Linked DNA regions of Bombyx mori. The protein of the gene in region 1 interacts with the protein of each later gene in a pairwise test. Links are inferred from orthologs where the notes say so. Each region holds a gene or a part of one and is shown on either strand. Other genes may lie near its edges. The genes, in order: protein suppressor of forked and cleavage stimulation factor subunit 2 tau variant.

Region 1 (4,358 bases):
CAATCCCTTCTGCCTATGGAAAACTATGACATGGCCATCTTCAGAAAAAGTATATCTTAAAAATCCAAAATAACAGCTTTGTAAATATTTACATCCAAATTATGTACACTAGAGATCTAAATCAATTCTGGTTTGAAAAAAGGCTTAAGTATTAAGGAATGCAGCTATGTCTAATAATTATCAGTATAGTTTGATGTGAAAGGTAATAAAAACTTTTTTCTGTGATACATTTTTGAGAATGGTAAAAATATAGATGTTTTTTATTGATAAATTATTCTTTCATACTCTGGTATAAAACTTACATAAAACTGAAGAACTAGGTTATTTTTCGATCAAAGGAAACTTTCTTTTCTGAAATGAATATCCGGAGACCGCTACTAAAACACTATATTATAAGAATGATTTATTAAGAAACTTAAGCTTATATTAATATGTACACTTTAAATTGAAGTTGTAGGTTAGGTTAAGTTCTATCTTGTTGAAACGGTCGCCTCCTTTCTAGCGGCATCCTGGAGAAGCTGGGTGTCTACCTCATCAGCCGGCAGTTGTACGTATCGAACCACGGAGCCTCTTATAAAACAATTTTTCACTGATAACATATGAGGATACTTTTCAGAGTCAATCACGCTTATATCCGAAAGCTTTATATTGAGATATTGATCCACAGAATGCAACGTCCCACATATGCTGAGGTCATTTTTCAGCTCGACGACTACATCCTTACCGACTAACGATTTGAAAAACGAGTAAAACAACATTTTTCGTTTTGTTTGTTTGAAAACGCGCTGAAACAGTAATTTGGCTTGGGTTCTTCAATTAATGTCATTTAAAACTCAAAGTCAAAATCATAAAATGTCAATGCCAATAGCTTTTTGTAGCGGTGTGAATCGGTATTTTCCGTAATTTTGTTAGTTTTGTGCAGGAGCACCATCTCATTTCCAATGTCTTGCATTTACTACGTTTTCGTTACCTGTGCTTAAATTTTTAAAACAAATCGGGACTTTTTGGCGGGAACGTAAGGAGTGAAGCTGTGTGATTTATTTTATTTTGTCTATTTAGTGTTTCTTCAGGCTTAAATGTAATAATGTAATCTAATTTAATGTGATAATGGTGGTTTATTGACTGTTTAATATCTGTGAAAGTGTACAAATGTGGGTAAATGAAATAAAGCCGCTGGACATAGCTTCTCGAGATCCTCCAAAAAGTCCACTGAAAAAATCTCAGTCAATGACCACCATTTTACTGAGAATATGTCATCTCATATCATCTCATCTCATCTAATTTAATTTAATTTCATCGCAGTTGATTAATATCTAAAATTAATCATCTTCATTTCATGTCATTTCACTACATAATTGTAACATTTTTCATAAAAATAAGAATATTAATTAAAATAAGACATGACTTAAAGATCTTAATTACCAGGTCATAAAATTCCTTAAAGCGAAATGTATAATCTATAGCGTCCGCTAATCCCGTTTGAGCTTGGTTGAGTTGTTTAATTTTTTAAAGAAAATTGTGTTTTTTTATTGTTTTAAATCGATTTTAACACTGAGAGTAATGTGTCCACAAACAATCAGTACCTCATTTACTTAGTTCTTCGAAAAACTGTTGCTCGGACTTAAAACCAGATAGATAACCTCAAACGTAAACTTCAAAATGGCATCTGTAGATGAAATCGCCGACATTGTGAGTTTTTACGCATTAGTCGCATTAATTGAATATAATTAAAAACTAAAAGAACAAAGGTTTTCTTTTTTGATTTGATATTCCTGAATGTTGTGTAATTCGTTTATATAAGTGCATGTATTAGCAATCGATTGTTGTGTAGTTCTAAACAAGATAGTCATTTAGAAAAAAAAAAGAGGATCCTTAGTTTTATAGATACCGAAAACACGAGAGAGTTGTGACTGCGCTCCAAAACCGGAAGCCATTAAGTAACATTGACTTCGACCTGTAGTAACGTAAACTAATAATCAACCACTAAACCAACATTACAAGCGATTACACTGGAACCAGCTGTCTGCTAAGATCATTACAATTTCTCAAGAAAAAACCAAATTGTAGTACCTAGATCCTATATAATTACTCTAATCCATATTTTAAAAACGCCAATTAGCTGTTTAGCCTCTTACTGGTGGTAGGACCTCTTGAGAGTCCGCGCGGGTAGCTACCACCACCCTGCTTATTTCTGCCGTGAAGCAGTAATGCGTTTCGGTTTGAAAGGTGGGGCAGCCGCTGTAACTATACTTGAGACCTAAGAACTTATGTCTCAAAGTGGGTGGCGCATTAACGTTGTAGATATCTATGGGCTCCAGTAATAACTTAACACCAGGTGGACTGTGAGCTCGTCCACCCACCTAAGCAATAAAAAAAAAATTATAATGAGTTAGATACCCCACTGAAGCTTCATTACACTTTATAACTGTAAACTTCTTAGATGTAATTAAGACTATTTATAAAAAGTTTGTATGTATGTATAAAAAGTACAACAGCTTGATCTCATGAAACATATATTGTATTATATTGTATTGTAGTGATTTTTATTTCATTATGGGCTCTAGTAAATATTTAATACCACATGCAGACTGTGAGCCCAATCGCTCATCTGCAGTTATAAATGAAATAGAGTAAAGGATATATAAATAAAGGATAGGAAAATAAGTAGACAATTCAGAGAAATTTTAATGTTATTGAAAACAGAGTAATCGGAAATGTCTAACTTTTCAAGTTTTTTGTTAATTACATCAAAACACAGAAAAAACTGGTGTTGACACTTAGCCATGTGGACTTATCAAACACCCTACTGGTAAATTAATGATTTCAATCTCTTTGGAAATTTTTAGTAATAATTCCAGTCATGTTGCCACTAATTTTGAAGTAATAATAAGCAGTTTACAAACTACAATAATTGTTCTAGGATATAAGTTATATCTATGTTATCTTCCTAGACCAGTCCCTTCAAATTGTGTGTACATATTTGTATAGATTGAGATGTAGACATTAAGGGTTTTGCTGATGCATCTATCTATTTATTACATAGAATGGTGATTGAACATATTGTATTGATTGCAATTAATACTGTTACAAAACTTTGCCAGAGCCCATAAAATCAATGTAAATGAGTCGTCTAAATTATATATTGTGTAATTTAAGAATTGTTTAGCAAAATTACCATAAAATTAGGTATTGTTTTTTATTTAACAAATTAATATTTGTCTCTCTTCATGTTTTTCGCTAGGATTGGGGTAATGAACGCCTATCCCGCGCCCAGCGTGCAGTCGAAGCCAACATATACGATGTGGACTCTTGGTCATTGCTAGTAAGAGAAGCCCAGGCCCGAAACATCAACGATGTCCGAACCATGTACGAGAAGTTGATAACGGCATTCCCGACCACAGGACGTTACTGGAAAATATATATCGAACAGGAGGTAATTATAAGCAACATTAAATGTACCTCCTTAGACATGGTTTTTAAGAGTATATTTTTTTTTTTTTGTTATATAGGTGGACGAGCTCCCAGCCCACCTGGTATTAAGTGGTTACTGGAGCTCATAGACATCTACGACGTAAATGCGCCTCCCACCGTGAGATATAAGTTCTAAGCTCTCAAGTATAGTTACAACTGCTGCCCCACCATTCAAACCTTTTAAGAGCAATCCTTCAAACTGCAGTGGGCAGTTCATGCTGTGTCCTTATGATATGTCCAAATGAATAATGGAGGCTGGTAACTGGTTATCATTGCCTCAAGACAATGTCCATATTGTGAGACCACTAGTTTCACTGTATAATATTCTCTAAGTAAACTTCACGTAATAAATGAAGATTCATTTAAATCTTTCTTGTAAAATTTAGATTTTAGTATGTAGGATAAGATTATGATAAGATAGGATAGGAGATAAGATTAATGTAATGTAGTTATTAATTAATTTAAACAATAATTTAATATTATAATAATTTCAGATGAAAGCGAGAAATTTTGAAAGAGTCGAAAAGGTCAGTATACAAAGAGAGTAAGTTTAAAAAAAACAAAGCTATCTGTGATATTAACTATAGGCAAAAATAGAAATAGACAAATACTATATTTTAATTACAGTATGCTGGTGCGTGGCATACCTAGACGATATTTCCAAAAGAATGTCTATGATAGTTTTATATAAAAAACAATTAGTTGTGTTAAATGAAATAAAGCTGTGTAATTGCTGAATTGAAAATAATCTTTTTTTTCGGTTAGGGTGTCTATGTGTTCAGACATGACGGAGGAGACTTTCCATGGCGAAAGGGGAAAAGAGAGCAAATAAAAAAAAAAATTACCCTATATGAAATAAACCGATTTCGCCTTCGAAGGTCACTTTT
Region 2 (3,795 bases), on another chromosome or scaffold:
TATTTATTGGTTAAATAATTTCAGACAATGCTTCATCCAAGTAACCCTGTACCTCCAATCTTACTACCGGGTGATAAACCAGCCCAAACGAATACTTATATACCATCCAATCCACCACCAGGTAATAACTAGTTAAAATAATCTATGTAATTAACATAATATTAGTATAAAATGTAAAGTAAATATTTATCTAACAAGTATTAACTCTAATCAAAGTTTTGGTATTAGCTAGCTGTTTGAATAAGTAAGTAAGCTTGACTAAGTTTTTATATAAAAATAAATTGCTTAAGTACAAGAAAAAGTAAGAATACATGTGGGATAATTCTATTTTTGAAAAGACAACTAACCCGAAACTACAAAATTTTGTGTCAATCAAAATAAAATAATATAGGATTATATTTGTTTACAAATCTAGCACAACCACCGATACACAATAATCCCGGACCGCCACCCAACCAGTACAACAATTGTAAGTACTAATTTATATATGTACGTACATATATATTATTATGTAGATTGTTATTAATAGTTTGAATGACTTAATCTCCAATGTTAATTACCAACTAATTTATGACTTGCACACCATGTTCATACATTTCTTAGCCAATTAAAAATAAATTCACGTCATTACGGATCCTCCAGATCCACTAACAGTGCTTTTAGGTATCTCAAGCACCGGTCATCGTTCTCGTCGAACCCGTCGCTTGCAACGAAGGGTTCGGCGAGTAAACGAACCCACAGACACAACCTACTGAGTTTCTCGCCGGATCTTCTCAGTGGATCGCGTTTCCGATCCGGTGGTAGATTCTGCGAAGCACTGCTCTTGCTAGGGCCAGTGTTTGCAACTTCGCCAGGTTCGAGCACCGTGAGCTCACCTTAAGACTATCAGCTGAGGTAGGAAAAAATAAAAAAAAACATCTAAACCATCAATATAATGAGAGTCATCAAAGATTAGCGCAAAGTAATTGAAGACATGAATGGATGAAGGGGATATGATACAATTTGTTAATTTTGAGAAAAAGGGTAACAAACTTTTGTTACTTGTACTTTTTTTTGTACATAACTCCTTCATCACATGCAATTTCTAAAAAGAAGCTTTTAAACCTGGAGTTTTAATATGATTTATAGGCACATAACACCTTCATTAAATCTTAAAAATGATACTTACTCCCTTCATCCACTCATGTCTTCAATTGCAAGTCTGCAATGTATCGCTATGTTTAGCATTCGCCAACTCCATGTAATATAAGACGCATCTTGGTGTTAAGTGTTTACCGGAGCCCATAGACATCTACAACGTAAATGCCGCCACCCACCTTGAGATATGAGTTCTAAGTTGTAGTTTGTAGTAGTCTGAGTTTCAGTATAGTTACAACGGCTGCCCGACCTTTCAAACCGAAACGCATTACTGCTTCACGGCATAAATAGGCAGGGTGGTGGTACCTACCCGTGCGGACTCACAAGAGGCCCTACCACCAGTAATGACGTAAATCGCGCCACCTACCTTGAGATATGAGTTCTGAGGTCTCAGTATAGTTACAACGGCTGCCCCACCCTTCAAACCGAAACGCATTACTGCTTCACGGCATAAATAGGCAGGGTGGTGGTACCTACCCGTGCGGACTCACAAGAGGCCCTACCACCAGTAATGACGTAAATCGCGCCACCTACCTTGAGATATGAGTTCTGAGGTCTCAGTATAGTTACAACGGCTGCCCCACCCTTCAAGCCGAAACGCATTACTGCTTCACGGCATAAATAGGCAGGGTGGTGGTACCTACCCGTGCGGACTCACAAGAGGCCCTACCACCAGTAATGACGTAAATCGCGCCACCTACCTTGAGATATGAGTTCTGAGGTCTCAGTATAGTTACAACGGCTGCCCGACCTTTCAAACCGAAACGCATTACTGCTTCACGGCATAAATAGGCAGGGTGGTGGTACCTACCCGTGCGGACTCACAAGAGGCCCTACCACCAGTAATGACGTAAATCGCGCCACCTACCTTGAGATATGAGTTCTGAGGTCTCAGTATAGTTACAACGGCTGCCCCACCCTTCAAACCGAAACGCATTACTGCTTCACGGCATAAATAGGCAGGGTGGTGGTACCTACCCGTGCGGACTCACAAGAGGCCCTACCACCAGTAATGACGTAAATCGCGCCACCCACCTTGAGATATGAGTTCTGAGGTCTCAGTATAATAGCCTATTTCATTGAATCATCGTTAAATTGAATCTCCAACAGCCCGTCCGTCCATGGATGTTGATCTTCGCGGGTCGCGAGCTCCCGGTCCCGCGGCGCCCCCTAACGCCATGCCCGCGCTGCTCGACCAGGACATGCGCAGTCTGCCGCCGGTCGCCCCGCACCCGGTACCGCCGCCGATGCATCATCCCCAAGATCCGTACGTATTTATTGGACGACTTCTGAGCTCACCTACTAGTTAAGGTTACGCTGAAATAGCCTCTCAAGGCTATCAGCTTAGGTAGGAAAAAGGTAGGAAAAGAAAAAACGTTTGAAACGACAGCTGAAATTTTGCTAAAAATCGTCGTGGTCTAAAGGATAAGATGTCCGGTTTAGCCCGGGAAGCAATTTATGGGCGAGACCTAATCAGTGTTGATACTTAGTAAATTATATCTTTGTCTGCATCATTAGGTCCTCTCTCGTACTTGCTTAACTATGTACGTTCGGTATTAAATGTAAAATTTTCGCAATTCAAGAATAAAAGAAGAAAAAAACTTCTTTCACGATAAAAATAGGTTTTTATCAAATGAAAAATAGCTGTATGAATAAAACAAATTTCAAAATGATTTCGAAGCGACGAAAACATTCTATGAATTTTAAATATGTAAATTTTTTCTAAGGTCAAGTGAAGTCTTGTATTTGACTACAAAGCAAAAAAACATTAAGTAAAAATGGCACCTCACCACTATTATTATTGGTATTTTCGTTTGTATAATAGCGGGTATATCGTAAATTAATTTCGATAAGTAACAGGAAATTCTTTTAACCTACCTAATGCATCGAATTATTTTTCTTCAAGTTTGATCCTCTTTGTGGAGACGACGGAAGAGTGAGTTCCATAAAAAAATCATCTGCCTAATATGTTGTTAATATGTGAGGTAGAATGAAACATATTATTGTTTCAAACTGGCTTTGATGTTATTAGCCTTGTCCAGTTTCTTAGGGATCGATTGGCGTTTATTGACGTTTTGCGGTTATATAAATTATTTATTTTTATGAAATATTATTCATGAATATGAAAAAGTTATTTATAAAATCGTGTGTATTCATAGATAAATTCAAATCTAAAATAAATAAAATTACCATACTAACTTTTTAAACTACTATGTAAAATGCTCTTTAATTTGTGTAAATGATCAAAATAAATAGGTAGGTATTACTTTTTTTTTAAATGAGTGAGAAATGAGTTCATGAGTTTACAATCTTTAAATAATACGGCCGTCTAGTCTATGCCTTCAGTTTTTTTTTAAGTTCTAAAATGTTTCTTGAAAACCGCAAAAAATCAAATCAAAATTATTTTGTCACTCTAAAAAGAACGATTTCATAACGCATTATGAACGCAGAATGTTCAGAAACAATAACATCAATACCCGTGTAATAGATGTTTTTAATAAGGCAAAATGCGAATGTAATATGCACCTTTGAGAATGGTAGTTATTGTTGTAATGTTGACCCCTGACTCCTGATAAACTATATTTGTTTATATATTTTATCATTATTATTTTATATACAGGGTGTAATCCGTCAAGAAGCTGCTAAATTGACGCGACC

What was found.
Region 2: the proteins of protein suppressor of forked (region 1) and cleavage stimulation factor subunit 2 tau variant interact in a two-hybrid assay, tested with the Drosophila melanogaster proteins (2 studies listed by BioGRID). The link is inferred for Bombyx mori from reciprocal best matches to the Drosophila melanogaster genes su(f) and CstF64.

The regions. Positions count from the first base shown.
Region 1 is NC_085129.1:20,030,052-20,034,409, forward strand, and holds the start of protein suppressor of forked, read left to right. Parts: upstream 1-1,436; 5' UTR 1,437-1,659; coding exon 1,660-1,689; exon of another isoform or gene 1,690-1,748; intron 1,749-3,241; coding exon 3,242-3,433; intron 3,434-3,965; coding exon 3,966-3,998; intron 3,999-4,358. Other genes in the region: U6 snRNA-associated Sm-like protein LSm2, read right to left, coding at 471-758. UniProt on the Drosophila melanogaster protein: Essential protein, may play a role in mRNA production or stability.
Region 2 is NC_085112.1:5,026,203-5,029,997, forward strand, and holds part of cleavage stimulation factor subunit 2 tau variant, read left to right. Parts: intron 1-24; coding exon 25-121; intron 122-415; coding exon 416-469; intron 470-2,247; coding exon 2,248-2,404; intron 2,405-3,795.